Macaca fascicularis: one gene and its partners. The protein of the gene in region 3 interacts with the protein of the main gene of each other region in a pairwise test. Links are inferred from orthologs where the notes say so. Each region holds a gene or a part of one and is shown on either strand. Other genes may lie near its edges.

Region 1 (4,610 bases), on a different chromosome or scaffold from region 3:
GGGTAACAGTTTTACCCTTGCCCATAATTTTAAAAATCAGGTGATATGATAGTAATAATATGATCAAACCAAAAGTAGTAGTTTACTGAAGAAAACTAAACCAGGTGCCTTGGCCCTCTTTTCATTATATGTGCTCTCCTAGGTGACCTCATCTACTCTCATGACCTCTTATCATCAACCTATACATCAATAATCCCAAAACCTTTATGTTCAGCCCCAACTTTTCTCCTCTACTCCAAGTCTGAATTTTCAACTGCTTGGACATCCTATAAGCACCTCACCATCAACATGCTGAAAACCAAATTACCTTTCCTATCATAATTGTCCCCTTTTTTGTTCTTTATCCCAATTAACAGAATCATCATCACCCACTCAGTCACATAGGTGGTTACACAGTTGACCTTGAACAACAGGGATCTCAACTGTGCAGGTCCACTTATCCTCAGATTTGCTTCCACCTCTGCCACCTGTGAGATAGCAAAACAAGCCCCTCTTCTTCCTCCTCAGCCTACTCAATGTGATTTTCTTAATAAAATGTTCTTTTCTCTAGCTACTTTACTATAAGAATACAGTATATAATACATGTAACATAAAAAATATGTGTTAATCCACTGTTTATGGTATTGCTATGGCTTTCAGTCAGTAGCAGGCTATTGGCACTTAAGTTTTGAGGGAGTAAAAAGTTATACATGGATTTTCGACTATTCAGGGGGTTGATGCCCCTAACCCCTGCATTGTTCAAGGGTCAACTGAATTAGATTCCATTCTTATCATTATCATCTAATTAGCCACCAAGTTCTTTGGACTCTATCTCCTAAATTCCTCTTCTTTATCCCTGCTGTCACTAATTTCACGCGAACCCTCATCACCTCTCACCTGTAATACTGCAATTGCCTCCTAATTAATCTCCCTATTGTTTCTCCCCATCTGATTCATTCCCCACCCATCTGACAAACCATCTTTCTAAAATATAACTATGATCATGTCACATCCTGTTTAAAAACATTTGATGGCTTCTTTACTGCCTAGAGGAAAAAGTCTCAGTTCCAAACATCACAATCCAACTCTAATGACCACTGAGGCCTTATCTTCTGCGCCTATCCCTTCATTCCCCGCTTTCTGGAAAATTTCTTGCCATGCCCTGAGTGATTAATGCTCTTTTTTGTTGCCATATTAATGCATGATGCTCTCTATCCAGAATGATCTTTCATACCTAGTAAGCTTATACTTATTCAAGAACCAGTTTAAATGTCAGCAGCTCAAATACCACTAATTCTGTAAAATCTTTTCTAATTCCCCGGGGTAGATTTTATTATTTCCTCCTTAGTGCTCCAAAGCACTTTGCAAATATCTCTGTTATACAGTACTTATCAAACTGTATTATAATTATCTATTGTATTCATCATTTTATTTCCTACTTTGTACAAAAGCTTTCAAAGACTAGATGACAAGAATATTCTTTGTATCTCCCAGTTGTGCCAAAATAATGCTTGGCACACTGCTTACTTTCAGTAAGCACTGAGGAGTAACTAGGTTGTACCTCCCACCTTATTGTGAGCATCTGTGTGCCGGATGACATTCCTCAGGAGAACTTTCCCCAGTGGAATCCGGGACATTCTTCAATCTGAAATGAATCAACAAATAACGTTTAGTAATAATTTATTTTATTACTTTATCTTTTCTTAAATTTTATAAAGAAGCATGAGGTAAAGGAAAGATCACTGAACTAGAAGTCAAAGATCCTAAATAATAGTTTTCCCTTTACCATTAAAAGAGGGAAATGCCTAAACACACTAATGTGAGATGAAAGGAGATAATGTACATTAAAGTTCTTTGAAAATGCACAAGACTGCATAAAATTAAGTGCTTTCATGAGCACCATTTTATTTAATCCTCATAACTATTTTTTATATGAGGCAAATATCTCCATCCCTATTTTGTAGATGAAGTTCCCTTAAACTTGTCATGCCCCAAGCCACATAGTCCCAGGCAAATGATGTATATCAATGTCTAGATTAAAAATCAAACCTCCAATCCCAATATTAGTTTGCAGTGAAGCAAATACGTAGATTTGAGAGTATCAGGAACCACAGGTGTCAACAGTAACAGAAACTGATGACTCAAAACATCAAATGCAAAGATGTCCTAAACTTCTCCATTTGGGAGCATTTTATTTCCTACTTGGTACGGAAGCTTCCAAAAACTAGATGACAAGAATATTTTCGTGTGTAGCTAGCACGGGCTTTGTGCAACCACCCCAACGCTCACTCACCCCTTGATCCTGAGGAAATCAGGCATCTTGTTAGTGAGACGAAGAACCACTCCATTACAAGATCTCCTCCGACCCAGGAAGCCAAGGAGTCAGGGCTCAAAGGCAGCTCTGCAGCTTCACCCGAGTCCTTCGTGAAAACGCAGCCTTCCCACTGGTTAATCTGCCCTCACCTGTGGCCCAGGCCACTGCCGCCTTTCCCCCAGCCCAGATCGACAGGCAGATCTCTCTCGCGGACTGAGGCCGGAGACTGAGCCGGCGCGGAATTCGGACAGCCCGGTTGACCCGGGCATTCCCCCCTCACGCTCCTCTGGGACGAACCCCGGGGGTAAGTTTCACTCCCCAGAAAGGATGGGAACGCTTTGGATGGCTATGGCCTTCGGTTGGGCGCCAGGAAGTATCTAGGGGGCCTGAAGCGGGGGTTGAGGTTTCCAAGTGGAAGACAGAGGAAATATCCCCATCTTTGTCACCGGGATCCCTGTCCCCCAGCGGCCTCGGAGCTCCCGGTAACCTCCCCTCCAAACGCCCTCCCCACACAAATACACACAAACACACCCATACCGTGCGCCGCTGCCTCGCGTGGCGGGGGGTAGGGGGGAAGAAGCGGTTTGGGAGAAAAAGGAGGAGACTTCCTTCTCAGGCCGGAAGTGGTGCTCCTGAGAAATAGTCCCACCAACAGGCAGCCCAGAGACTCCCAGAAGGGAGGGTTTTCAGGACACTCCAGAGGTTGACGGGTGCAGAAGGGAGGCGGGCGCTTTCCTGGAAGAGAAGTGGATCGGGCCCAACTGAAAAGCAAGCCTGGTACCAGAAGGGGGACATTCCGGAACTAGATATGAGGAGACTTTTCTGCCTGAAACTCCCCGGACCCAATTAGATGTTGTACCCAGGCTGGTTACCCTGGTAACAGGCGTCGCGGTTTGTCAAGGAGCTGAGAGAAGAGGTGGGTTTGCCAGCCTATAGAATGACTACCCGTTAGAACAGAGAAGAGGTGGGTTTGCAGACCTATGGAATGATTACCCGTTAGTTAAGCTTCCCATTTAGCGTAACCCTTACACAGTAGTTGAAGAATCTAAACCTTTTTGCCTCGTTCTAAAGATGCTGTGGGACACCTCTCCAATGGGAGAAGAGGCTCTGAAGACGTAGAGAAGTGTCCCAGCCTCTCTATTAGCTTCCTTAATCCTCGCAATAACCCTATGATAATATAGGTATTATCGTCTTCATTTTGAACAGAGTAAGAGGAATATATATATATGTATATGTATGTGTATGTGTATACACACACACACACACACACACACACACACACACACACACACACATTAATTGCTCAAGGTCATACAGCTAGTGAGAGATAGAACTAAGACCGGAATCTAGGCATTCTGGCTCGCAAGTCCATGCTTTGAATTACTAAACTATAATGAGGATTAAGGAAGTCTCATGTGGCCCTCACCCCATACACACCTCTGGCAATTTCAGAACTGGGGAGCCACCAGTCAGTGAGGTGTTGGAACAAGAAGATCAGGAAACCCAGATTTAAAATGATTGCTCTGACTTGTCAGGGTCCAAGTAGAAGTAAAGTCTTATCTGAGAGGACAATGTGAGAATTTAGGAAGAGGTACTAGATAATTAAAGAATAAGGAAAACATAAAGTGGTGCTGCTGATCCACAATCTTTTAGACACAAATGCTAAGTCCTAACTTCACCAAAACAATTCCTGGCCCATTCCGCCTCCCCAAAGCAGAAATGAATCAACAATTACACAGGGCCGGGCGTGGTGGCTCAAGCCTGTAATCCCAGCACTTTGGGAGGCCGAGACGGGCGGATCACAAGGTCAGGAGATCCAGACCATCCTGGCTAACACGGGGAAACCCCGTCTCTACTGAAAAATACAAAAAACTAGCCGGGCGAGGCGGCGGGCGCCTGTAGTCCCAGCTACTTGGGAGGCTGAGGCAGGAGAATGGCATAAACCCGGGAGGCGGAGCTTGCAGTGAGCTGAGATCCGGCCACTGCACTCCAGCCTGGGCGGCAGAGCGAGACTCCGTCTCAAAAAAAAAAAAAAAAAAAAAAAAAAAAAAAAATTACACAGACAGTTTTCTTCCCAAAGTCATGTCTTTCCACAGGCTTAAGAAAATTATTCACCACTCATCAGTCATGGAGACATCCTCAAAGGGTCTGCTCACCCAAGTTACTCAATTTTGGAACCTCCTAGATGATCTAGCTGAAAGTGACCCTGAGGGCTATGAGAAGTTTATTCAACAGCAGCTGAAAGAAGGGAAACAGCTCTGTGCTGACCCACAACCACAGCTTTGTCTACAGACCAGGATTCTGGTATGTCGAGTTG
Region 2 (3,812 bases), on a different chromosome or scaffold from region 3:
GACCCTCCTGTTGGGGCCAGCTGCCCTGTGCCCCTCACCGCTGGCTAAGTCCTGGGGCCACTGTAGGAAGGTTGGGGGCTCGTGGAGCTGGAGCGCCAGGCCTGGGACTTGAAGGCCCAGGAAGGTTCTGTGCCGGGCGGGCTAGGGCGAGCCCTGTAGGTGCCCACGGCAGCCATCCTGGGCTCAAGGGGGGTCCTCCTTTGGAGCTCCAGCAGGGTTCAGAGGGGCCCATGGGGTCCAGACCCTTCCTGGGGACACCAGGCAATGGCGGATGCAGGCCAGGCCATGGGGGCCGTGGGGTCACAGGGCTGCAGGAGGGTCCTGGTGCTGAGGGGCTCAGGGTGATGGGCGGGAGCCCAGGATGGGGCAGCCCGGAAGGGAGCATAGGCCAGCTGTGGGGACCCCCCTTCCTCAGGACAGCCCCCCAGGACTGGGCCCAGCCGTGGAGACCCCTGTCCCTCAGCACAGTCTCCTCAGGGACAGGGCCCAGCCATGGAGTGGGGGCTACTGGGGCCTGGGGGCAGGGCCTGGGGGCTGGGGAAGTCCCAGGGGAGCATCTTTCAGGCCAGTGCCGGCGTGGTGGGGGGCGACCCCGGTGGGCATGGGCTCGGGGCGCTGAGGTGGCAGGACCGCTGCAGAGACCATGTTTGTAACAAAGTAGCCTTTATAGGTCCCTGAAGGCGGGCAGTGTGGCTGGGGCGTGGGGTGTGGGGCGTGGGTGGCCGCCCCAGGGCCTCGCGTTCTCGGGCTCCTTGCGTTCCTCCTTGGCTGTCCCCGGGGAAGGCTCTTGCTCCGGGTGCCTGTCGCCTATGCCCGGGGCCTGGGGCTGCCCATCGTGGGCGCTATCTGGGTCAGGACTGGGGCCGGGCAACTGGGGACGCTGCGGTGCCAAGGGAGGTGGCACAGGCCTGCGGGTGCCCGGCTGGTCTGGGGCACGCGGCGTGGGTGGCCCGGAGGACTTGGCCTGGCGGGTGGGCGGAGGCAGCCGTCGGCGGAGGCTGCAGGAGCCCCCCAGGCGCGGCCACACGTCGGCCTCTCCGTTGTGCAGGAGCACGAAGCGACGCTGGGACAGCAGAGGCAGCATCTTCTGGCCACGCAGGCTCTTCTGGAAGGTCTCCAGTGCCAGGTCTGGTGAAGGTGGGGGGGAGAGGGTAAATGGGGGGCAGAGGCTGGGACTGGGAGGAGCAGGAGGGGCGGGGAGGGTGTGGGGGGGGAGGGTGTGAGGTGCGGGGAGGGTGTGAAGGGTGGGAGGGTGTGAGGTGTGGGGAGGGTGTGAGGGGCGGGGAGGGTGTGAGGTGTGGGGAGGGTGTGAGGGGCGGGGAGGGTGTGAAGGGTGGGGAGGGTGTGAGGTGCGGGGAAGGTGTGAGGTGTGGGGAGGGTGTGAAGGGTGGGAGGGTGTGAGGTGTGGGGAGGGTGTGAGGGGCGGGGAGGGTGTGAGGGGCGGGGAGGGTGTGAGGGGCGGGGAGGGTGTGAGGGGTGGGGAGGGTGTGAGGGGTGGGGAAGGTGGGGGCTGGGGCGGTGCTGCCACACAGAAGGTGGAATAGCCCCATCTGTGGGGGTCCGAACTTGGGAAGAGGGCGGGTGGGCATTCAAGACTGGGCAGGCTGTGGGGGTGTGGGGTGGGGGCTTGGAGGGCTCACCCAGGGTCTCGATGACCACACCTGGGATGACCTCCTTCAGGACCTCGCAGTTGGTGTGCAGGGCTGGGTTGGAATTCATCTCCAGCAGCCATACCTGCACCAGATGCCAGTCAGACCCTCCCCACCTCGAGGCCACTGGGCCAGCAGGGCAGAGGCCCTGGTCCTCGTTCAGCCAGGTGGCTCTGGGAGATTGCTTCCTTTCTATAGCGTTGCTCCCCTGTTTGTCCACTGAAACTCTGAGGGTCTGAAGCTCTGGCCTGAGGGGCTGCCCTGAGGAGGGGGTGCAGGTCCGTCCCAGCTGCATAGGAGGTGAGCCTCGTGGATACATCCATCCCCAGGGCTGACTGCAGAGTCTGCCTGGGGCCTGCCAGTGTGGTTAGGGTGTGTGCAGATGGCCCCTGCCTCCTTGCATCTGCCTCCCGTGCCCCCGCCACCCAGGACAGCACCTTGAAGTTGTCATCAATCAGGAAGTCACAGCCGATGAGGTCAAAGTAACCCAGCTTGCACTCCAGCTTGGACTTGGCGGCCAGAAAGCAGTGGGCCATGATCTGCTGCATCCGCTTCTGCAGGGAGACAGGGAGGCATCCTGGCTGTGGCCTCTAGGCCCTGATCACACCCCAGGTCTGAAGAGCTACAGCCACGTCCCTCACCGGCACTCCCATCTGAACCCACACCTGTACAACCACACCTGCCCACACGTTCGTGCACTCAGCATCACAGGCTCACAGCCAGAAACTCAGTCAACAAAATCCTGGAGCTCCTGCCCTGTGCCAGGCCCTGGAGATACACGAGTGAGCAAAACTCACAAGAAATCTCTGCCCTGGAGCAGTTCTTTCATAGCAGAAGAGACGGATAGCAAATGGGATACATAAATCTCGAATCACCGTAAGAACGGTGAATTTTGTCGTTTTTTAATGTGCTCTGGTTTTTTTTTTTTTTTTTTTTTTTTTTTTGAGGCGGAGTCTTCACTCTGTCGCCCAGGCTGGAGTGCAGTGGCACCATCTCGGCTCACTGCAAGCTCCGCCTCCCGGGTTCGCGCCATTCTCCTGCCTCAGCCTCCCGAGTAGCTGGGACTACAGGCGCCCGCCACCGCGCCCGGCTAATTTTTTGTATTTTAGTAGAGACGGGGTTTCACCGTGTTAGCCAGGATGGTCTCGATCTCCTGACCTCGTGATCCGCCCGCCTCGGCCTCCCAAAGTGCAGGGATTACAGGCGTGAGCCACCGCGCCCGGCCAATGTGCTCTGGTTTTATCCTCTGCTCCCCAGCTCAGCTGTAGCCTCAAAAAACAACGGCGTGCATCCCCAGAACTGGAGATAGAAAAATAGACCTCATTTATGAAAAAAATTGTAATTATTTGTTTTCTTATGTCTGGTAGTTCTTTGGAAGATCCCACTTGAAAGGACTAACAGAAAGTAGGAGGGCCGGGTGTGTGGCTCACACCTGTAGTCCCAGCATTTTGGGAGGCCAAGGCAGGAGGATCACTTGAGCTCAGGAGTTTGAGACCAGCCTAGCCAACATGGTGAAACCCCATCTCTACTAAAAATACAAAAATTGGCCAGGCACATAGCTCACACCTGTAGTCCCAGCACTTTGGGAGGCCGAGGCGGGAAGATCACTTGAGCTCAGGAGTCTGAGATCAGCCTGGGCAATAAAGCGAGACCTTAGCTCTACAAAAAAATTAACAAAATTAGCTAAGCATGGTGGTGTGTGCCTGTAGTCCCACCTGCTTGGGAGGCTGAGGTGGGAGGACTGCTTGAGCCCAAGAGGCAGAGGCTGTGGTGAGCTGAGATTGTGCCACTGCACTCTAGCCTGGGCGACACAGTGAGACTGTCTAAAAAAAAGAAATATGAGGATGATGTCTCATCAAATAATAGAGAATATCGGTGAAGAGACAAAAATTACAAAAGAGAATCAAATAGAAATTCTGAAGTTGAAAAGTAGAACAAATAAAAAATTCACTAGGGCTCAACAGCAGATTTGAGTTGTTTGCAGATAGGCCAATTGAGATTATTTCGTCTGAGGAACAGAAAGAAGAAAGAGGCCGGGCGCAGTGGCTTCACGCCTATAATCCCAGCACTTTGGGAGGCCAAGGCAGGTGGATCGCTTGAAGTCAGGAGTTTGAGACCAGCCTGGCCAACATGGTGAAACCTCATCTCTACTAAAAATACAAA
Region 3 (4,722 bases):
AATTTTGTGTTTAGAGTTACCCAACTCTAAACAAGATAACTCATGTATATACAAATATTCCAATTTTTTTTTAATCCAAAAGTCCAAAACATAGTTCCAAGCATTGCAGATAAGGGATACTCAACCTGGAGAGCTCTGTAGCCAGACTGCCTGGGTTCAAATCATGGATTCTGCCACACAGTCAGGAGAGTACAGTACTAATCTCTGTGTGCTTCAATTTCCTCATCATAAAATGAGGATAATAAAAGTACTCAGCTCACAAATTAAAGATTAGGAGAGTTAATACAGAAAGAACATAAAGCATTGCCTGGCACACAGCAGGATGGAGACAGTGATTAGAGTTGGTGATCAGCTTTCTGTGTTATCTTAAGTAGGTACTTAACCTCTCTGAGCTTCAGCTTCTTTGCTAAGTTGTAAAATATCTACCTGATAGGATTATCAGGAAGTCCAAAGGAAATATATGTAATGAACCTAGTATAGTACTCAACAAATTACATACTTTTCCGTGGTCTCCCAACATCTGGAGTCATCCGTTACATTAGACATACCTCAGTCATAGCATACTACTCTTGCACTTTACACCTGGTCATTCAGGTTGATCTCAATGAAATGATCACCCAACGAGTCTCATGTCTGAAACTGGATCTTCATCTAGGTTTCAAAAAGATAAAAAGAAGAAAATCTTGAAATGTTCAGCTTCCTAGTAAGAATGGTCTTCTGTTACTCCCAGAGCAGGCATCCATGGTACTGGTAATCACAGATAAACCAGGCACAACTGAAATAACTGCTAATGCCCTTCCCAGCTCACTACCATACACCTCTTCCCTTCTCTTCTCTCCCCTTATCTTTCCTCTCCCTACCTTGCTAAGACATTTAGCTGGGTATCCAAATCTATCATCATCTATCATCAATTCTGACTTCCGGCTCCACAGGTAGGATATTCTCATTTGCAAGGATACTAAAATGAAGCATCCTCAGACAAACTACAACTGATCACAAAAGCAAACACAGGAACAAAACTACTCCTCATTTGCACCTGTGACCAAACCCTCCTTTTCAGAGGTCCATTCTATGAAATTAACAGGCCAATAGTTTGCAGCAGCCTTTTCCCCACTACAGGCTGTCCCTACTTCCAGGACAAAGGTCTGGAACTTTTAAAGTCACAGGAAGAGACCAAATGCCTTCTAGGGCCAAAACAGAAGCTACAGCTTTAATTAGTGTCATAATACACTTAAAATAAGATGGTGGGGGTAGGAGTCAGAGGGTAGGAGTTGTCTTGTACATGGCATAGTAAGCCAGGCATAGAAAAGCAAAAACATAATTGTATCTTCTGACACTTTCTAGGTTTCCCGAGTGTTTCAGCCAAATTGCCCTTTATAGGTCTGAAGTCCCTTGTAACATGCTCCATACCTTAAAATTTAATTATCTTTTCACCATTTGGGGTCGGGGAGGGGAGCTGACAATAAACCATGGCCAGTAACTGTTCCTTCTCAACTGAATCACAACAAAATCTGTAAGCGTCTTCAAAAGCATATACTTCAAATTACTGCAATAAATGAACATGTAACCCTTTCGAAGTCTCTATTCCTTATTAAATGCAAAAGCTCTATTCTGAAAATATGGCAACTTGCTGTTTAATGTTCCTAAGAAAGAGTTGAACCTACCCCAAATAGGAAAGAGTTAAAATGGAATGTCATCTCAACCAAATCATTCTGTCTCGCGAGAGGTGACATGAAGCGGCAGAACCTTGCTTTGAAGCAAAAGCTGTAGGGAAAACTCCAAGTCAGCCACCTCTTCCCCAAAAGGCAGGGTTAGGGGAGGCCAGAGTCTACTTGGCAATATTTAAAGTACAAAACTCATTGCAGAGGCTTGAAACCAATATGGATAATGCCTGCACAGTGTTTAATATAATATTCATACATATATATATATATATATATATATATTTTTTTTTTTTTTTTTTGATACGGAACCTCGCTCTCCAGGCTGGAGTGCAGTGGCACGATCTCAGCTCCCAGCAACCTCCGCCTCCCGAGTTCAAGCGATTCTCCTGCCTCAGCCTCCCGAGTTGCTGGATTACAGGCGCGCACCACCACGCCCGGCTAATTTTTGTATTTTTAGTAGAGACATGGTGGTTTCACCATGTTGGCCAGGGTGGTCTCGAACTCCTGACCTCAGGTGATCCGCTCACCTCGGCCTCCCAAAGTGCTGAGATTACAGGCGTGAGCCACTGCGCCCGGCCTGTTTAATATTAACAGTGATTGAAACACTGATTGAAAAACAGTGGCAGTAAAAAAGGAAACTCAGGTCTCTCTGTTACAGGTGTCTTAGCCTTCCGACATTTTTCACCTTGAAAAACTCCTATTAGGCCCTGTATAAAGTCAGAGGTCTCCTGAATCCGGAATGAGGTTAATAAACCAGAGAAAGAGATACTCACCTGTGCTATTCGCCTAACCGCCCCCTTCTGCTCCGAGTCCTCACTCCCCAAACCACCTTCGCGGTTGTTTGCCACAAAACGGGCGCTTCAGTCCGGGTCGATTTTGGGGGATGGAGTAATTACCTACAGCTTAAATCGAACCTGTGCCCGCTGTGATTCTAAGCTTTACTCTTACTGCCTCATTTAACCCACACAACCACTTTGTAAGGCGAGAATTACCAGCTTTAGTATACAAATAAAGAATCCGAGGCGCTGAGACATTAAAGGAGAAGCCAAAGAACACAAAGCCTGGGGAGCTGGGGCTAGCACGCAGGTTTGTCCCATCCCCAAACCCTTACGCAGGGATTTGTAATTGGCGCGACCCTATCCCAGGCGGCTCCTCCCTGACAAGGGTCAGTCTGACCACTGTTAGGCCCAGGTGAGGTCAAGTCCGGGGTGCTCCGAGAAGGGGCTCACGACTACACCTCTGAGAGCCCCGAGCGCCACTCACCTTCCTCAGTCGCCGCCTCCCACCAGCAGCCAGCCCGGCCCCGGCTAGGCTGGGATTACTACATCAGGCCCCGCCTCCGCGACCGTTACCTCCGCCGGGGAAGGGCGGCCAATCGAGCCCGAGCGCGTCGAGGGCCAGCCCCTCTTTAGCCTGCGAACGCCCCCAAACGATTCTCTCCAGCCTCACCCGGAAGCTGGGTCCGCCCCGCACCCTCCGGTTGGCTCAGCTACTGGGGGCGGGGCTTATCGCAAACGCAGGCGTCGGCTAGTCGTGGGCAAGCTGGCGTTTCCATCGCTCTCCTTAGGTACCCTGTCACTTACATGGAGCCTTATTTGCCTGGAAGATGTCAGACATACTTGTGGCCGTAGGTGAAAGTGAAGCCTGGGTTACCTGGCCTCCAGAGACTGCCCTCTCTCTCGCCCCCTACCCCGCCGCTACTACGAGCTCTTGCTGGGGTACGGGTCAGCATGTTCTCGATGTTCCAGACCTGGCTGACCACTGTAGCAGCTGACATTTGGAGGACCCCAATAAATGTTTGTTGATGACATTTCTTCCGATTCAGCATTTTCCACATCTCGACGAAGCTTCAGGCCCTACCTCAGGCTGTAAATGTCCACCATTTTGATTGTATCTTATAGCCACATGGTGTCGCTGTTGACAACCTGTCTTTTCAAATCAGTCAAATGATGTAGGTGTGCGTAGATGCAGATCCCACAGGAGCCAGCAGGGATGTCCCATCGAGGGCATCAGCCAACGGTCTCTCATCAGGAGGTCCAAGGGCTCTTGGAGCTCAATAGTTTCAGACCCTTCTTAGCATTCTTCCAGGCAGCTGGAACTACACTTAAGTTTAATCTCTGTGTTTGCCCCATACAAACATGTCCCTACCACAACCTACGCCCACCCACTGTGCTTTCTATACCTGGATATTCACTCTCACGATGGTTAGCAGATTTGCATTTTCAGTTCTCAAATCGCAAATAGTCTCAGTGCTTCCCTTTTCCAAGACAATAGGGTACCCTTGCATACTCTTCTGAGCATGGCTGCCCTAACTGTAGAGGCCAAACATCTTTGGGTCAGTTATGATTATTTTGGATGCATGTGATATGAAATCTGAGTTAAATTGTCTTCCTAAAAAATGAGGAAGTTGCTTATCTCGCATAACAGAAAGCCCAGAAGCAAGGGAGACTTTAATTCAGTGGCTCAGCAAGTTAACAAGGACCCAGTTGCTATTAGTCTCTGCTCTGTTGTATAAAAAAAAAAAAAAAAAAAAAAGGGTAGACTTCAAATTCATACTAACGTGATTTTCCAGATGTCTACTTGGAGAAATCAGGACCACATGCTTTCTTTTTCATCCAAAACCTTTCCTTCTGGTTTTTTGAGCCAATTAGGTCACACAGGTACGCACTCTTCCTCTTTACCAGTAACTGCCTGGGAAATGTACAGATAGCTTAAGCCTGGGTTCCAGAAGTGAAAGGGAGCTATGACAATTGGAATTGGCAATGGTGTCAGTGCTCTTAGGGTCACATGAGTTGCAAGGTGGAGACCTGTAAAGGAGAAGAGGAAAATGGATGCTAGATGGATGATCCCCAGTGTCTTTCACAATCTTCAAAGCACAAGAAGGCTGACTCCTCTCTATTTTCTAACTGAATTTTTTATGTGGTGAATGGAGGGGAAGAGGTGCTATAGCACTGCCCTCCAAAACAATTCCCTTCTTATGGATCATGAAAGCCTTTCCAGCACCTCTCTTTGCTAGAGAAGGAAAACATCCTGTACACAAATTTAGTCTTTCACTGAG
Region 4 (3,977 bases), on a different chromosome or scaffold from region 3:
TCACACACGATATTATTTCTCATGCCATCTTGCCTTTGCATACATGGTTGCTGCTGGCTAGAAGACCACTACTTATACCTCCTCCAAGACTGAACTCAGATGTGACACTTCAGTGGAAAATTCTGGCCTGCATCCCTCCAAAAGCTTGGCATAACCAACTGCTTCTTCCTCTGTAACACTCTGTTACATCATGCTGTAATGCAATTTTTGGTTCTCAGCTAGTCTCTAAGCTCCTTGAGGGCATCTTGTTTTTGACTCCTCAGTGCCCAGGCATAGTCTGGCATACAGGAGACATGCAAGCATCGCTGACTGACTAGATGTGTAAGTCTCAGAGCAGGTGAATTCACAGCAGAAATGGGTCTTGAAATTGCAGACTATTTTGAAAACATAAATCAGATACATGTCTCCTAGTTCTGAACTCTTTGTACTAGATCTTTAATGAGCTCATGTTAATCCACATATTATAAAGAGCTTTTAAAGTTAAACTTTTATGTTTACCATTTAAAATGGCCCAGACTAAGTATTTTGATACATGCCCTCAGTTCTATGGGTGGATCAGAGAGAAAAGACCAAATGGCCACCAAATGACCCTCAAGCAAAAGTCATCTAGTAAGCTGATAAGCCATTAAACATTTTGAAGAAAATCCTACCTCTGTATATCATTAAGAGTACAAAGGGCTACTTAAGAGAAAATATTCTGAAATAACTATGTTCTGTCCTTTTAAGGATACATTTTATTTTATACTCCACAAATAACTTTGAGTTACAAGCTTACCTGGAACCGTCACTAAGAGAGGCTTCCCTGATGACCACTGGCTGAACTTCCTTTAAATGTAATTTATCCTGGTACATTTTCTCTAATTTTGCCATAGTTTCTAGGTGGGCAGCCTTCAACTCTTCTACTTTCTTGAAATACTCCTCATTAGAGTGGTGAATACCAGGAAAGTTCACAAAGTCCTCAGAGCTTATTGGTGCATGTTCATCCACCCCAGAAAAGCTGGTGTTCAAATCAGCCTGGTGGGGAGAAAACACCTGTTATATGGTGACTGGAGCTGAAAGACAAATTAAGCTGACACTGATCCAAAATGCTGCTTCCTAAAGAGTCCACCTAGTTAGGTTATACGTTAATTATGGGTTATGCATATAGAATGAGTTACAGGTTATTTGTGTGTACATTTTCCCCAGTGATATTTTAAGAACAAGAGGGAGCGAGACCAAACTGTCAGAAAATAAATGTTATTTAATCCATTTGATAAAGGATGGTTAGATTCCCAGATCAACCAACAAAAGGTATAACAGGATAGAACCCAACAATTGTTTACAAAGTATTTCTATAAGGAGCCTCCTGAGTTGTAAGTTTTTTTTTGTTTTGTTTTGTTTTTTTGAGACAGAGTCTCGCTCTGTCGCTCAGGCTGGAGTGCAGTGGCGCCATCATGGCTCACTGCAAGCTCCGCCTCCACGGTTCACACCATTCTCCTGCCTCAGCCTCCCGAGTAGCTGGGACTACAGGCGCCCGCCACCGCACCTGGCTAATTTTGTGTATTTTTAGTAGAGACGGGGTTTCACTGTGTTAGCCAGGTTGGTCTCGATTTCCTGACCTCGTGATTCACCCGCCTCAGCCTCCCAAAGTGCTGGGATTACAGGCGTGAGCCACCGCGCCCGGCTTGAGTTGTAAGTCTTAACTGAGATGAAGAGGAACACAGTTCTTCCTGCTGCAAACCAGGCAACCACAGCCCAATGCTCTCCCTTCAGCTGCGCTTCTGAAGTGTGCCTCCAAGGACTGCCAGTGAGAGAAGGCAGGGAAATAGAGGGAATGGAGGCGGGGACAAAGTTCTCAGTGGCTTATCAAGGAGCCAGGGAGAAGCCCTCCTCACAGTGGGGCAAGACCTTGGGAGGGAGTAAGAGGACATGGGAGGGGGTAGGAGGGATTTTCAGGGCAGCTGCTCCTGTGGGCACAAAAGCAGTAGCTCCCATGGGTGACAGGGACTTTGGGATGACAACAAAGCAGAGAAGAAAAAATGGTGTAATTATTCAACACACAGATCATGTTTAGAAGGGTCTGACTGGCCTTTCTCCCTCACTCCCTTTACATACCTTTCAGGTTTTTTTTTTTTTTTTTTTTTTTCTGAGACAGAGTCTCACTCTGTCACCCAGACTGGAGTGCAGTGGTGTGATCTTGGCTCACTGCAACCTCTGCCTTCTCCTGCCTCAGTCTCCCGAGTAGCTGGGATTACAGGTGCCCACCACCACACCCAGCTAATTTTTGTATTTTAGTAGAGATGGGGTTTCACCATGTTAGCCAGGCTGGTCTCGGACTCCTGACCTCAGGTGATCCACTCACCTCAGCCTCTCAAAGTGCTGGGATTACAGGTGTGAGTCACTGTGCCCTACCCTTTCAGTTCTTTTAATTGAAGCAACTAAAGAGATAAAACCCCATTTTCTCTATAAATATACAATTTTTATTATGTTTTCAGTTGAGAAACAGTTGAAATTATTTATGATACTATGCATAAAAGACTGCCAACCACGGTTTTAAATTTAGTCTACTGTCTGGAACAGACGCAAAATGAAAAAATTTGCTACAGAAAATTATAGATCCAATCTGATAAGACTCTAGAAAATAAATCTGTTTAGCTTCTCTCAAAAGAAAAATTCAGAAGAGTCAATTATAAATAGTAGTTATAGATGTGGTGTTTTTGTTTCCCATTGGAGGCTTCTCAGAAGATATGGTGTTTTTTTAATGGGCTAAAATCAGTGTATAAGAGGACAATGTTGTACTATTTGGGGTAACTTAGAGAAAACAAGTTTTAAAAAATCAGTCTTCAGGGGCCAGGCGCGGTAGCTCATGCCTGTAATCCCAGCACTTTGGGAGGCCGAGGCAGGTGGTTCATGAGGTCAGGAGATGGAGACCATCCCGGCTAACACGGGAAAACCTCATCTCCACTAAAAATACAAAAAATCAGCTGGGCGTGGTGGCGGGCGCCTGTAGTCCCAGTTACTCGGGAGGCTGAGGCAGGAGAATGGCGTGAACCCGGGAGGCAGAGCTTGCAGTGAGCCAAGATCATGCCACTGCACTCCAGCCTGGGGCAACAGAGCAAGACTCTGTCTCCAAAAAAAAAAAAAATCAGTCTTCAATAGAACTTATATGTAGAAATTTGCTACTAACAACTCTATGAATCAGAACTGCTTTAAGTATGTCAAACAATTCAATTAAGAGAATTCTCTGATATCTTCTGCTGTTTCTGTATGTGCTTCTCACCATAAACTTCTTACCTGTAGGATGACTACTTTGTGAATTTCCTCATTCATTAAATATTTGGGGGCTATCTTGCAATCAGCTAGCTGCTAAAAGGTATGTCAGTTTTTTTTAAACTCTACCTTTGAGGCCAGGTGCAGTGGCTGACACCTACAATCCCAGCACTTTGGGAGGCCGAGGCAGCCAGATCACTTGAGGTCAGGAGTTTGAGACCAGCCTGGCCAACATGGTGAAACTTGTCTCTACTAAAAATACAAAAATTAGCCGGGCATGGTGGCACGTGCCTGTAGTCCCAGCTACTCAGGAGGCTGAGGCAGGAGAGTCACTTGAACCCAGGAGGTGGAGGTTGCAGTGAGCCAAGATCGTACCACAGCACTCCAGTTTAGGTGACAGAGCAAGACTCCGTCTCACTTAAAACAAACAAACAAACAAACAAAACTCTACCTTTGAGAAGTTTCCAGCTAGCTTAGGAAAGGACATGTATATAAATAATTGACAGATGACTTAGAACGAGACAGAACACCTGATTCCTGCCCACAAGTTACTTCCAGCTAAGTAGGGAGGCAGATGTACGTCACAATGTCAGATACTAAGAGACAGAGGCACAATTCACAGAGGTGAGTCAAACTAGAGACATATGGTTGGATGAGGACAAAGTTTGCCAGATCAGGGAGGCAGTGAAAAAGGAATAAATAAATCCGAGGCATAGTGCTAGAACATC
Region 5 (3,898 bases), on a different chromosome or scaffold from region 3:
ATTCCTAGATATTTGATTTTTAGCAAAACTTATTGGGCTATAATTTACATACAATAAGATACACACCTTTTAACTATATAGTTCAATGATTTCAACAAATGTATTTATCAATGGAGTCACTACCTCATTAAGATACAGAATGTTTTCCTCAGCTGAGAGAGTTCCATTATGCCTCTTTGCAATCAGAAAAACCCCAACTTTCAAGCCAGGCAAAAACTGATTTGATTCAACTTATATCAGTACAGATTAGTTTTGCCTGTTTTAGAACTTATATAAATGCAATCATGCAGAAAACAATTGTGGCTGGTGTCTTTATAGATACAATTTTTTTTTTCATTTTTTTAAGATTCATCTATGTTACTGTTTGTATCAGTAGCTTGTCACTTTTTTATTGCTTAGCAGCTTTAAAATGTATGAATACATCACAATTTGTTTATCAGTTCACTTGTTGGACATTTAGATTTTTATCAACTTTGGGGCTATCATAAAGGAAATTTCTATGAACTTTCCTATGCCAATATTTTTGAGAAAATATGTTTTAAAATCTGTTGGGAAAATTCCAAAAAGTGGAATTTCTAGGACATATGGTAAGCCTAAGTTTAACTTTTTAAGAAACTGCCACCAAGTCTTGGAGTGGTTGAACCCCTCACCAACAATCAATGAGAGTTTCTATTGTTACTATTTTCAAAAGTGCTTGGGACTGTCAGACATTTTAAGTTCAGCAATTATAATGGGTGTGCAGTGGTTTTTCATTCTGGCTTTATTTTACATTTCCCTGATAGTTAATGAGGTTGAGCATCTTTTCATGAGCTCGTTGGTAATTTGTGTATGTAGTTTTGTGAAATGTTTATTCAAATCTATTATTTGCCTTCTTGAGTTTTCGAAGTTCTTTATATATGCTCTGAATTCAAACCCACTGTCAGATACACATATTGTGAATATTTACTCCCAGCTTCTCACTTCATTTTCTTAACCATGTGGTTTAAATGGTAGTTTTTAATTTTGATAAATCCAATTTCTCATTTTTTTTTTTGTGATCTGTTCTTTTTCTGTCCTAAGGGATTGTTTTCTCAAAGATTATAAAGTTTTTCTCTATGTTTTATTCTAGAAGTTTTCTAATTTGAGTTTTTACATTTAGGTTTATGACCATTTTGAATTAATTTGTGTATAGTATAGATAAAAGGCAAGGCTCCTGTTTTTCCTTTAAGAATTCTGTTATTTCAGCACCATTTGTTTAAAAGACTATACTTTCCATATCGAATTACTTTGACATCTTTGTCAAAAATTAATTAACAGGCAGAAGGAGGTGAATCCTGGGAGCCAAGGGCAGAGAGAGGCAAGTCCCCAGAGAAGTGGGAATGGCCAACAGCTCCCTGAGAAGATGCCTTCCGTCCTTCCTGGGCAGGCAAGGGAAGTCTCAAGAATACACAAGAGAAGGGAGAGTGGCAGAGCCCAGGCTGGGGATGTTAAAAGGGACTCACGGTGAGGATGGGGGCGGGCCCGAAAGTCCCACCTGACTCCAGGCTGCAGGAGGGAGCGTGGGACGGGGGCGGAGCCGCTGGCGATGACAACAGCCCCACGTGATCGGCCAACACTGAGTCTTGCCTCGCTCTGGCGTCGGAGCCGCCGTCGCTCGCTCCTTTCTCGGCTGTGGTACCTGTTCCCGGTGGCCCTGAGGACGTGCGGGCCAGGTGCGGCCCCGAAAGCAGGAAGCGGAGGGGGAGCAGGTAAGGGAGACGGAGGGGGTCCCTGGGGTTGGTGTGGGGGAGCGGCCCCGGCCTGCGGATGCCCCACCCCCGAGGAGCCGCGCTGAGACGCAGCCGGTGCACGATGCAGCCCCGGGGCCCCGCCGCGGGACCGCTAGCCTTTAGTGAGCGGAGGAGTGCCTGGCCCCGCGGGAGCCGGCGGTCCTGAGGCTGCGGTCCTGAGGCTACGGCCCTTCTGAAGCACCTGCCTCCGCCACCAGCGCAATCTTTTCTGAGATCCCTGCTCCGCCCTTCTTGATGCAGAAAATGGTGGTCAGCTTGGGGGGCGGGGCGGCTGAGGCGCGGGGAGAGGGCGGCGAGGAGGGCCCGGGCCCGGCGCGGGGAAGGGGCCGGGTGGCGGCGGGTCCTCGCTAGTGTTCCGCTGCAGCAGCCTCCACTCTTCCCACCCCGGCCGTCTGCAGGTCTGCGAGGCTAAGTGTCGAGGCGACGCACCTCACGTCGAGAATCGGGAGGAGGAGGAGACTGCAAGGATAGGCCCAGGTCGGTGCGAGGGACGGTGGCGGGGCGGGGGTCAGAACATGACGAAAGCCCAGTCTGGGACCCCAGTCGGTGCCTTCACTGCTACGCTTCGCAATCCCCCACCCCCACCCCTTCTTCGTCCTCCATTTTGGCGCCTGCAGAGGCCTGGAGATGGATCTGCAGAGAAGATGGTGGGCTTTGCGGGAGAGAGGGGCGCGGACTGCCCCCCCCCACCCCGAGGGTACACGGGGCCTCTCTGATGGGAAAAAAAATGAAATTTAAAAAAGGCCTTTGAAATCCAGGGCTCTGAATTTTGAAAGGTGGGTAGTCGGGCCTCTGTCCTCGGTGCTGATCAGTTCACCAAGAATTGAGTCCGTTTTCTCTCTGTCTCATAGGAGTAATGGAGTCCAAAGAGGAACGAGCGTTAAACAATCTCAACGTGGAAAATGTCAACCAGGAAAATGATGAAAAAGATGAAAAGGAGCAAGTTGCTAATAAAGGGGAGCCCTTGGCCCTCCCTTTGAATGTTGATGAATACTGTGTGCCTAGAGGAAATCGTAGGCGGTTCCGTGTTAGGCAGCCCACCCTGCAGTATAGATGGGACATAATGCATAGGCTTGGAGAGCCACAGGCAAGGATGAGAGAGGAGAATATGGAAAGGATTGGGGAGGAGGTGAGACAGCTGATGGAAAAGCTGAGGGAAAAACAGTTGAGTCATAGTCTGCGGGCAGTCAGCACTGACCCCCCTCACCATGACCATCACGATGAGTTTTGCCTTATGCCCTGAATCCTGATGGTTTCCCTGAAGTTAATAGGGAGACCCCAGCTTCCTAAACTTACACATTTGTGGTGTACCTTTGTCGTAAACCTTTTGATGTTACCTATTTCTTGTGGGTCTCCTATTACCAGCTTCAAACTGAATGTTGTTTTGACCCAGTTTGTAAGTTTCTGTCAGCAGGGGAGTTTTACCTACTGCATGGAAAGATGCTCATTATATATTGTGAAGTTAATAAAACAGTTTTAAAAACCATTCTCTGCATTCTTTTTTACTTTAAATCTTAAATATGAACATAAACAGTCATATATGTACACATATATACACATATATAGAAAATCGTGTTTATCTTTGTGGTAGAATTAAGAGGGAGTTTATTCTTGCGTATCCATAATTTCTTATTTTTTAAAATGGAACACGTATTACTTATAAAAAGCAATGTGACCACCTTATAAAAGCAATGTGAGCACTTAATAAACACTTGTGACAGAATCTCAATTTTAACTTGCTTCTGGGATCTCTTTTTAGAAATGTTTGAGAGACACATCTCTTTGAAGATCATAATATTTATCAGTAAGATGAAGACAATCACCTCCCAGGCTTATTGTATGGACCAGAAAAGGTAATGAGGTTGTAAGCTTTCTCCCAAGTTCTTGTTCTTACTGACATGCATGACCCAACCCTTTAGATATTCCCTTCTGTTATTAGAGGAAATCTCCAAGGTGAGGTCTTCCCTATATTCACAAGTCCAGTGGGCTAAGGAGTAGGTACTTTCATTCCTCTGCTGCTGTGCTCTATTCTCATCATCTCCCCTGGGTATTACTCTGTTTTCTAGGTTTTGCTCCCTACACTGGCTCCTTCCACTGCAGATGTTCAGGAATCCTCAAAGTGAGAAAGT
Region 6 (4,567 bases), on a different chromosome or scaffold from region 3:
GAAAGGGAGAATAAAATGTCTACAATATAACTGAAGTCTCTTTGCACGTTCATCTACGTTGAAAACTTTTATCCCAAGACAAACTTGCCCCTGCATTGAGCTGTGTTGAATATAGCTGCATTCAATGAAGTTAAATCTGCCATTTCTGCCACTAGTGAAGATGAATGTCAATACACTAAACTCTACACTCTTTTATTTTATAAGAATTTAGAGTTCAGAATATCTTCACTCAATGTGTGCCCAACTCTAAAGCTGTGAGGAATAATATCTGCTCTGTCAGATCCTTGATATAGTATCAAGCAAGAATAATGACACAGATTATAGGAGACTCATTCTATTCTCTGTATTAACAAAATACAGTACTCTTAAGTGTTTTATATGACTCTTAAAAAGTATATAACTGACGCTGATTGACTCCTACTACTTGCCAAACATTATGTTAAGTGTTTTATGTCAATAGTTGTATTTAATCCTCACAACTCCATTATGTTGACGCAATTTTACATTTGGGGGCACTGAGACTTAGAACAGTTAAATACCTGCCCTGAGGGCCATAATCAGTAGGCAGTGAAGCTGAAATTCAAACCAAAATTAGTATAGCAACAGAGCCTGTGCTCTACTCACTCTAATTTGACTCACATCCCAGCACACAGATCTACAGGACACACATCCTAACATAACTTAAAATGTGCATAAGAAATTGTAATTTAGTTATGTGTACACTTTTGGCAGAAATTAACGAATAAAATATTGTGTGTCTCAAATTCTGGATCACTTCAAACTGGAATTCCCCCAATGATATCACAAAAGAGCCCTCTGATGACCCCCAAAGAATCACACACTGGAAGTTTCCACAGATGCCAACTCACTCCTTGGAGTTGAGTGAGTAAAGATAGATTGAGTGGTAGTGACTTAGACTAAACTAGTTGATGGCTTTTATTTTTCGGGTAGCCAAAATTCTTTTCCCCCGGTATCCAAGAAATATTTTCACAGCAATGACTTAACAACTTAAATGGAAATATTGAATACACTTTTTTCTTTAAAAGAAAACTGCATATCCTCAGCTTCTTAATCTCAAGCCACAGTGAATACTAATGCTAGCATTGGGGCTGTTTTCTGAGCCACTGGCCTACCCATCTTGTGCTTTCCTTGTCTTTAATTTAATTGCCTTCCTTGTCTTTAACAAATGACTCTGCTGTCATTTGTTTCCTATTGTGTTGCATCTGATGCTTTTACTCAATAAACAAAACTAGAATGTGTTCTGTGATGTTGTTTTTGTTGAGCACAAAATTCAATACATTATCAAGAGAAATGAAACTGAAAGGAGCAAGTCAAGATCGCAGACCTGCATTTTCTTCTGGGGCCACAGTTGCTGATAAATGATGCAAAAATGCCCTCGACAATCTATTCCAGCTACCTTTTGATCTGAAGATCTATGAAAATGAAGTAGTTAGGGGAGGTGGTAGGGTAGCTGTAAAAAATTTTCAATTGTTATTAGAATAATTTTGCATCCGCAAGCTGGCAAACACTATTCACGTCTCTTTATATTGCTCATTTTATGGTGCTCCTAAACAAAGTCTCTTAAAAAAAGGAGAAGAAAAAAGAGGTCTGACTAATGGAACAAAAGCTACATCACAGTCTAGTTCTATCATGTTTTCTCATCCTTAGTAAGATGATGGTTCAATTTTGAATAAAGATTAATTACTAGAATGTGGTTAAAGCATAGTCTAGCCAAATTAATTTTAAAAATGAGAGTCCAGCTATTTTTATCTTATTCTTCACATCCCAGATGATTTTAATCAGTAAATTTCATAGCAGTGAATATTTTTTAAAAGTATGCATGGCCATTGGCTTTTATCCATTCGACATCTCTCTGAATTAAAGTATCAATATTGGGAAACATAACGAGTCTCGCAGAGTGACCTTGCTGACCTATTTTTGACAACATGATTTCGGCTCCCTCATGGCTTGTGATGATGGGTTCCTGGTAACATTATCCTTTATGACAAATTTAATCGAAGCAAGTTAGACTTTTAAAAACAAGTTGTGTATATAAGCTTAACTAGCTTGCTATGCCCTCTTTGGTGCTTGGAAAACCAGGCACTGGGTGAATGTTTTTCAATTGCGTCTATAACTTAGTTTTTCCCACCTACTGACATAAACAATCCATCTTAATCCTCCCATTCTAGCTGCATATCGTTTTCCAAAACTAAAGCTATATGCCCCAAAACCTTTGCCTTCTGTCATGTGGCCGATGACATCTTCCACTGACAGAATAATAAATTTACACTCAACGCGCATGGGGAACCTGAACACATAAGCTCCCCACATGCAGAACTATTTCCAAGTGACATTCCCTTCTCTCTTTCCCTCCTACTTCAGTGATGCAGAATACCCATCATACAACAATTAACAGTCCTCCTTTAGGGGGATGCTGAATGGAAAGAAAAGAACAGGAGAAGGGCACCTCAATCCAGGCAACGTGTTAACAAAAACCCCAGAGCAAACCCACAGTCCTTGACAGATACCCTGATAAGATTCCCAGGACACAGTACTGAGGAAAAGCAAATTCTCCAGTGGGACACATCTCACATGCCAGTGGCTCCTGGTTCACCCAGCCACATGATCTGTGCCAAAATTCAGATTTAATGCAGTGTCCTCCTTAGTCCCAATGTAATTCTATTTCTAGTTCTGCAAGCCTTAGCTCTGCAAGGCATCAGTATTCTCTTACCAAAAAAAAAAGTATTAGCTTAAATTCTGGGCCATCTGTCACTCATATCCTTTGGTTAAGGACTATACCCAGTAAGGTATTTTCTGTTGAAGATGCCCACAGCAGTATCCACCCAGGAACCTTGAAATGGAAGCAGAAATGATTGCATGGGTAACTTACCAGCTCCTGAGGTCTGAATGGCTGCAGCAGCCCCACTCCTTTACCTGATCCCTGCTCTCTCTGTCTCTCTCCCTCTCTCTCTCCCTCTTTCTCTTGTGTACAGATTGCAGGGAACTTAAAGAACTCGCAGGGACAGTGTTTCGAATGACTTAAGAAAGAGAACAGGAACAATACTTCGTTCTCTTTTTCTCAGATGAGTACCTTCGGGAAGAAGGAAGGAAGGGAGGGGAGAGGGAGGAAGTCAACAACCCTTTGCTTTCCTGAAAAAAAATAAGGAAACAGAAGATAGACATCTCATTTTCTCTTAAACAAAATATTGGAAGGGGTAAAAAAAAAAAAAAAAAATCTTTGAAAAAAGGAATTCCTCAAATATGCTGTCTGCCCTGGGAGTTTTAAAGAGATGAAACGCCTTAGTGGCCTGGCCTGTCCAAACAAACGGTGTTCCAGACAGGCAGGCTCTCCTGAGCCCGCAGCCTCTGCTATCTGGTTTGCAGAACTGACACAGCCGAAAGGGAACAAATCATGTCATGTCGACTTAGAGCAAGGGAGAGCTTGGCCTGTTGTGCTAACCGAGGTAAACCTGCAGCCTGTAAGACAGTGTCGGGGCTGGTCAGCCAGGACTCCTGGCTTTTCCTAGGCCCTTTGAAACTCCAGCATTGCTGCAATTCCTCACTGACTCTAGATCCTCAGAGTTTTTCCAGGATCAAATAGCAGATTTATGCCCACCGAACTTTACGCAGTGGACTCAATCCAGCTTCCATCACTGATGGACGAAAAAGGAAAAGAAGCAACTAACCGCAACTGCTGCCGGACATGGTTATCTCAGATCTGTTGTTTATATTATTCTATCCTCTACATTCCTAAGGCTTCTTGGATTTAATCACCTCTGGAAAACTGGAAGGAGCTTTCTAATTTGTTTTCAAAATACTGCGAGGCAGCATAGGGCTTAGATAAATCAGCCACGGTGTTTGAAAAAAGATGGGGGAGGCAGGAGCAGAGAAAATGGAGGGCGCACCCTTTATCAAGGTAGAAGACTTGGGGCTTCAGCAGGCAGGCATGAGCTCTGCTTAGGTTTAGTTGCATTTAGGAATAAGCTTGGTTTTAACTTCTCTGATTTGTGTTATGTCTCTTGTGTCCCTCATTCATCTGGTTAGGACCATTTTCACTGTGAACAGGAACCAGCAGCTATGTAGACCTTTGTGGCAGCAAAAGAAAAACCAGCCTTACACTACTTCCTCATTTCACTCAATTGTGAAAAAAACGGGGTGGACAGATACACCTGATTGCAGAGAGTCATGAAAGTAAGTTAAGGGGAAGAATGATTCTGATTCAGTGACCCTGTAAGATTTTGACTGAGTCCTTATTGGCCTATAGGATTGTTTTTATTCTGACACATTTTTTCTATTATCTATCTATCTATCTATCATCTATCTATCTACCTATCTATCTATCTATCTATCATCTATCTATCTATCCATCCATCATCTATCTAATCTAGCTACATATCTATCTATCTCTCTGTCTACCTAGCTACCTGAATATGTGTGCATGTATTAGAGAGAGACATGAAGATTTTGTTACTCCGTAGGTGTGCACAAGCCAGGGCAGAGTCCCATTCTTTGCATCCACCACAGCACCAACACTGGCACACCCCACGGCACTGGAGTTCTGGCCTGG
Region 7 (4,605 bases), on a different chromosome or scaffold from region 3:
TTCAGCTCGGGGTTGCAATAGTTGATGTACTGGTACAGGGGCCGCAGGCGCTGGGCCTTTCCTGCAAAGACCCAGGGCAGGGCAGAGGCTAGAGCGCCAGGTTGTGCCATGTCAGGCCCCACAGGGAGAAGGAACAGCCCAGGGACTGCCACTCACGCTCCAGCCCCAATGTCTCTAAGGGTGCAGACACCGTGCTGGCCACAGCGTGGAGCACGGGAGCCCCCAGGCTCTTGCGCTTCTTGGCTTTTTTGTGCTGTTTGGCAGATGGTGAGGGCTCACTCTGGCTGCCCTCTGGCTCCTCCTCCTGCAGCGGCAGCCTGGGTGGCAGCTCAGCTTCAGCCTTGGGATGGGCACGAAGGCCCGGGAGGCTGAGGGACCTGAGCCAGGGACAAGAGACCTGACGCAGGGAATACCCCAGCCTGCCCACCGCCCCAGGACTCGACGCCTGCCCCTTTCCTGGTCGATGAGGCCCCAGGCCCAAGAGGCTTAGAGGCCAGTGAGCCCAGTGCCCTACAAACCCTGAAGCTCCCACTCTCCTGCTGCTCCCTACATGGGGGCTCTGGAAGAACGGGAGAGGAGAGTGATGGTAGTGACAGGGGACAAGAATCCTTCCTGCAGGAGTGCAGGAATCAGGAATGCTACTGGGGTGTGTGCCCCAACCCCGGGCCTGCAGCTCCTTCCCCTCCTCCTCCCCCAGAGCCCCCTCACTTGACAGGCTTTCTCTTTGGACCATGACGGGGCCTCACAATGGAGACCACGGGCCTGGGGCCTCTCTCCTCTAGCGCCCCGGCTTCCGGCTTGGGCCTCTCCTCCCCCAGCTTGGGTCCTTCCTCCTGGAGCTCCAGCTCCGAAGCTGCGCCTGCTGGGCGCTGGTCTTCACCCTGGGTTCCGCGGGCCTCATGGGCTGGCACCAGGAAATGTTCTTCCGCCACTGGACACTAGAGGTGACACACAGGCCATCGGTCACCATGGTCGGGCAAAGGACATAGGGATCCGTCACTGAACACCTAACATTAGACACCGAAACGGGAATAAGGACACCAGCCTGTGCCCCTCCCCGCCTGGAGGGCCCAGCCTGGCAGTTAGCGGGTCGGGGCGCTCAGAGTTCCGCCTCTCAGAGTGCTGCGGCCCCCTGTTTGAAGGTTAAACAGCCTGACGGTCACCTCGGAGGTCTCAGCGCTGCCGGGGTCCTCCGCGAGCTGTCCCTGCCCCACGACCGTAGCCTCCTGGACCCCCGGCCGCCTCTCCGCCCCTGCCGAGGCCATGGCTGCGCAGGCTCAGTGCATCCTCCACAGCTGCTTGGGGAGGGCCCCGAGCGGCTGGATGGTGGCCCCGCGCTGACCCTGGAGACGGGCCAGCAAGCGAGGGCAGAGCTGGGAAGCGAAACCCGCGACCGCGGAGCCCACACTCAGCGGAAACTACAAGCCCCAGGACGCTTTGCGCCAGGGTCAGTGGGCCCTGACCCCGGGGACGGAAGCCACGGTTGCCCGGCAACAACAACTCCCGTCGGGTGGCAGCGGCTGGCGGCAAAACCTCTCGAGTGAGCCCCTGCCCAAGTGCCGCGGGGGAGAGGCCGCGAGCGGGACCGAGAAGTGGGCTGGGGGGAGAGGTCGCGGAGGCGGCGAGCGAGGCCGGGGCCCAGGCAGGGACCGGCAGGGGCCCGGGAGTGACGGGCACGCCAGGGTCAGGGTCCCAGGCGAGGGAGGAGGCCCGGGGTTGGGGAAGGGGGCCCGGGGAGGGAGGTGCACAGCCCTGCAGGCCTCGGGGCACCGTTGCTGGGCGGTGCCGGCGGCATGTGCGAGGGCCCGTCCCGCATCTCGGGGCCCATCCCCCCAGACCCGACGCTCTGCCCTGACTACTACCGGCGGCCGGCCTCGGGTGAGTCCGCGGGCTTGGCGGTGGTGCTAGGCTCAGGGGTCGGCCCCGACTCCACCTGAGTCCTGGACTCCGCCCGGCTCCGCCCCACAGCTCAAGGGCGCCTCGAGGGAAACGCGCTGAAGCTGGACTTGCTGACCTCGGACCGGGCCCTGGACGCCACCGCTCCCTGTGGCCCCCGCATCGGTCCCGGTGCCCGAGAGATCCTGGAGCGCGGCCGGCGCGGCGTCGGGGACGTGCTGTTGCAACTCGAGGGGATCTCCCTAGGTCCTGGGGCCTCTCTTAAGAGTAAGTCCCAGGAATGGAAGAAGGGGCAGAGAGGCAATGCGGGGTGGAAAGAGATCAAAAGCAGCTGCTCTTTCCGCCCTGACCTGGGCCCAGGCTTTGCATCTCTTGAGTCTCAGTTTCCCCAACTATAAAAGGGGGAGAAATGTGCTACCTTCTCGAAGGAAGTGAACTGAATAAGGTAGTTCCCACGAAGCCCTAGCTCTGCTTCGTGCATTTGTTTGTTTGTTTGTTTGTTTGTTTGTTTATTTATTTTTATTTTTTGAGACGGAGTCTCGCTCTGTCGCCCAGGCTGGAGTGCAGTGGCCGGATCTCAGCTCACTGCAAGCTCCGCCTCCCGGGTTCACGCCATTCTCCTGCCTCAGCCTCCCGAGTAGCTGGGACTACAGGCGCCCGCCACCATGCCCAGCTAAGTTTTTGTATTTTTAGTAGAGACGGGGTTTCACCGTGTTAGCTAGGATGGTCTCGATCTCCTGACCTCGTGATCCGCCCGTTTCGGCCTCCCAAAGTGCTGGGATTAGAGGCTTGAGCCACTGCGCCCAGCCTGCTCGTGCATTTATTACCCGTCAAATTTGTTTGTTGAGTGCCCACTGTGTGCCAGGCCATATAGGTGCTAGAACACAGGGTTGAAGATAAGCATGAGCCATCATTGAGTCAAGGTGGGAGACAAAGAACAGGAGATGAATGTCATATATGAGATGATCTATGGTATACTTCACTATAATAATGGAGAAAATCACCCGGACGCAGTGGCTCACTCCTGGAATCCCAGCACTTTGGGAGGTCCAGGCAGGCGGATCACTTGAGCCCAGGAGATGGAAACCAGCCTGGCCAACATGGTGAAACCCCATCTCTACAAAAAATACAAAAATTAGCCTGGCGTGGTGGCGTGTGTCTGTAATCCCAGCTACTCAGCAGGCTGAAGTGGGAGGATCCCTTGAGCGGGGGAGGTCAAGGCTGCAGTGAGCTGTGATCGTGCCGCTGTACTCCAGCCTGGGTGACAGAGCGAGACACTGTCTCAAATAGTAATAATAATAATGGAGACAGTCATCCTGAAATACTACATGAGGAAGGGAACTCTTTCTGTAGGAGGCAGGGGGCAGGCCTGTGTGTGAACTAGTGGAAGTTGGATTGTGTGGGCCCTATGTAGGGCAGAGACTGGTGGCATCTTTTCTCCAGGGAAGGACCCTAAAGACCATGAGAAGGAGAACCTGAGGCGGATCAGGGAGATTCAGAAGCGCTTCAGAGAACAGGAGCGCAGCCGAGAGCATGGACAGCCCAGGCCCCTGAAAGCTCTGTGGCGCTCACCCAAGTACGATAAGGTGGAGTCCCAGGTCAAGGCCCAGCTCCAGGTACCTGCTCCAGGGAGCCAGAAGTATTATCCTTTTTGTTGGCCAACAGGCAGCTATACCCTGATCCGAGTTCTGGGGAGGGAGGGAACTAAGAGACCCTGGCTCTGCTGCAGGGCGAGGCTGGGGGGCTTCTCAGAAGTGGTGATGGCGGGGCTGATCCTCAGGGGCAAGCAGCAGTTAGTCAAGGGGACAGCAGAGGAGAACATTCCCAAAAGATGGAAACTCACAGACCACAGGGCACGCAGCAGTGGAGATGCCAGGTGTACAGTTCACTGTGAGGAAAGAAAGGCGTGAAGTTAGGCCAAGAAGTCAGCTGGGCCCACATCAGGGGCCACAAAAGCCACTTTTCAGTCCTTATTTCTGAGGACAGTGGGAAGGGCAGGGGTATGGTGGGGGGCTCTGTCTCGGGTAGAGAGTAGCACCATCTTTCCATCCAGGGACTCAGCAGGAGGAGCAGGAGTGAGAGGAAAGGCAAGGTCACACAAATGTGTCTGGGCTGAAGCATCTGTGGGGCTCCCAGGGGGTGGGAGTGTGTCCAGGAAGCAGATGGAAATTCAGGCCTGGATCTCAGGAGTGAGACCCAGGAGTTATTGACGATCAGGTTGAGGACAACGAGACCAAGGAAGTGACCGCCTGGATTTGAGGACTTGGAGGCCAGCCGTCAGGAACGTTGCGGGGCTAGAGCCAGGAAGCTTGGCTAGGAAGGATGAAAGAGAGTGGTAGGTGGGCCAGTACTGAGGTGGAAGGAGAGATGGTTTGTTGTTTTCTTTTTTTTTTTTTTTTTTTTTTGAGACTGAGTCTGACTCTGTCGCCCAGGCTGGAGTGCAGTGGCCGGATCTCAGCTCACTGCAAGCTCTGCCTCCCGGGTTTTTTTTTTTTTACGCCATTCTCCTGCCTCAGCCTCCCGAGTAGCTGGGACCACAGGCGCCCGCCACTTCGCCCGGCTAGTTTTTTGTATTTTTTAGTAGAGATGGGGTTTCACCGTGTTAGCCAGGATGGTCTCGATCTCCTGACCTCGTGATCTGCCCGTCTCGGCCTCCCAAAGTGCTGGGATTACAGGCTTGAGCCACCGCGCCCGGCCTGTTGTTTTCTT

Evidence for each region.
Region 1: the proteins of CEP70 (region 3) and NKAPD1 interact in binary tests that used the Homo sapiens proteins (3 or more experiments, as listed by UniProt). The two-hybrid records come from large-scale screens. The link is inferred for Macaca fascicularis from reciprocal best matches to the Homo sapiens genes CEP70 and NKAPD1.
Region 2: the proteins of CEP70 (region 3) and TTLL10 interact in binary tests that used the Homo sapiens proteins (3 or more experiments, as listed by UniProt). The two-hybrid records come from large-scale screens. The link is inferred for Macaca fascicularis from reciprocal best matches to the Homo sapiens genes CEP70 and TTLL10.
Region 4: the proteins of CEP70 (region 3) and FAM161A interact in binary tests that used the Homo sapiens proteins (3 or more experiments, as listed by UniProt). The two-hybrid records come from large-scale screens. The link is inferred for Macaca fascicularis from reciprocal best matches to the Homo sapiens genes CEP70 and FAM161A.
Region 5: the proteins of CEP70 (region 3) and protein BEX2 interact in binary tests that used the Homo sapiens proteins (3 or more experiments, as listed by UniProt). The two-hybrid records come from large-scale screens. The link is inferred for Macaca fascicularis from reciprocal best matches to the Homo sapiens genes CEP70 and BEX2.
Region 6: the proteins of CEP70 (region 3) and ZNF366 interact in binary tests that used the Homo sapiens proteins (3 or more experiments, as listed by UniProt). The link is inferred for Macaca fascicularis from reciprocal best matches to the Homo sapiens genes CEP70 and ZNF366.
Region 7: the proteins of CEP70 (region 3) and ENKD1 interact in binary tests that used the Homo sapiens proteins (3 or more experiments, as listed by UniProt). The link is inferred for Macaca fascicularis from reciprocal best matches to the Homo sapiens genes CEP70 and ENKD1.

What each region holds. Positions count from the first base shown.
Region 1 is NC_088388.1:111,004,760-111,009,369, reverse strand, and holds the start of NKAPD1 (uncharacterized protein NKAPD1), read right to left. Parts: upstream 2,891-4,610; 5' UTR 2,273-2,890; intron 1,625-2,272; 5' UTR 1,617-1,624; coding exon 1,548-1,616; intron 1-1,547. Other genes in the region: PIH1D2 (PIH1 domain-containing protein 2), read left to right, coding at 4,421-4,597.
Region 2 is NC_088375.1:233,578,257-233,582,068, forward strand, and holds the end of TTLL10 (protein polyglycylase TTLL10), read right to left. Parts: intron 2,204-3,812; coding exon 2,087-2,203; intron 1,735-2,086; coding exon 1,641-1,734; intron 1,129-1,640; coding exon 665-1,128; 3' UTR 647-664; downstream 1-646. UniProt on the Homo sapiens protein: Inactive polyglycylase.
Region 3 is NC_088376.1:41,433,762-41,438,483, forward strand, and holds the start of CEP70 (centrosomal protein of 70 kDa), read right to left. Parts: upstream 3,015-4,722; 5' UTR 2,438-3,014; intron 652-2,437; 5' UTR 558-651; coding exon of another isoform or gene 549-557; intron 1-548.
Region 4 is NC_088387.1:60,075,876-60,079,852, reverse strand, and holds part of FAM161A (protein FAM161A), read right to left. Parts: intron 1,015-3,977; coding exon 776-1,014; intron 1-775. UniProt on the Homo sapiens protein: Involved in ciliogenesis.
Region 5 is NC_088395.1:109,688,315-109,692,212, reverse strand, and holds protein BEX2, read left to right. Parts: upstream 1-1,596; 5' UTR 1,597-2,003; coding exon 2,004-2,018; intron 2,019-2,167; coding exon 2,168-2,246; intron 2,247-2,620; coding exon 2,621-3,012; 3' UTR 3,013-3,255; downstream 3,256-3,898. UniProt on the Homo sapiens protein: Regulator of mitochondrial apoptosis and G1 cell cycle in breast cancer.
Region 6 is NC_088380.1:76,445,500-76,450,066, forward strand, and holds the start of ZNF366 (zinc finger protein 366), read right to left. Parts: upstream 3,017-4,567; 5' UTR 2,891-3,016; intron 1-2,890. UniProt on the Homo sapiens protein: Has transcriptional repression activity. Acts as a corepressor of ESR1; the function seems to involve CTBP1 and histone deacetylases.
Region 7 is NC_088394.1:63,699,599-63,704,203, reverse strand, and holds the start of ENKD1 (enkurin domain-containing protein 1), read left to right. Parts: upstream 1-1,485; 5' UTR 1,486-1,793; coding exon 1,794-1,878; intron 1,879-1,968; coding exon 1,969-2,163; intron 2,164-3,339; coding exon 3,340-3,512; intron 3,513-4,605. Other genes in the region: C20H16orf86 (uncharacterized protein C16orf86 homolog), read right to left, coding at 1-61, 157-733. UniProt on the Homo sapiens protein: Microtubule-binding protein which regulates microtubule organization and stability. Promotes the stability of astral microtubules and facilitates the proper orientation of the mitotic spindle.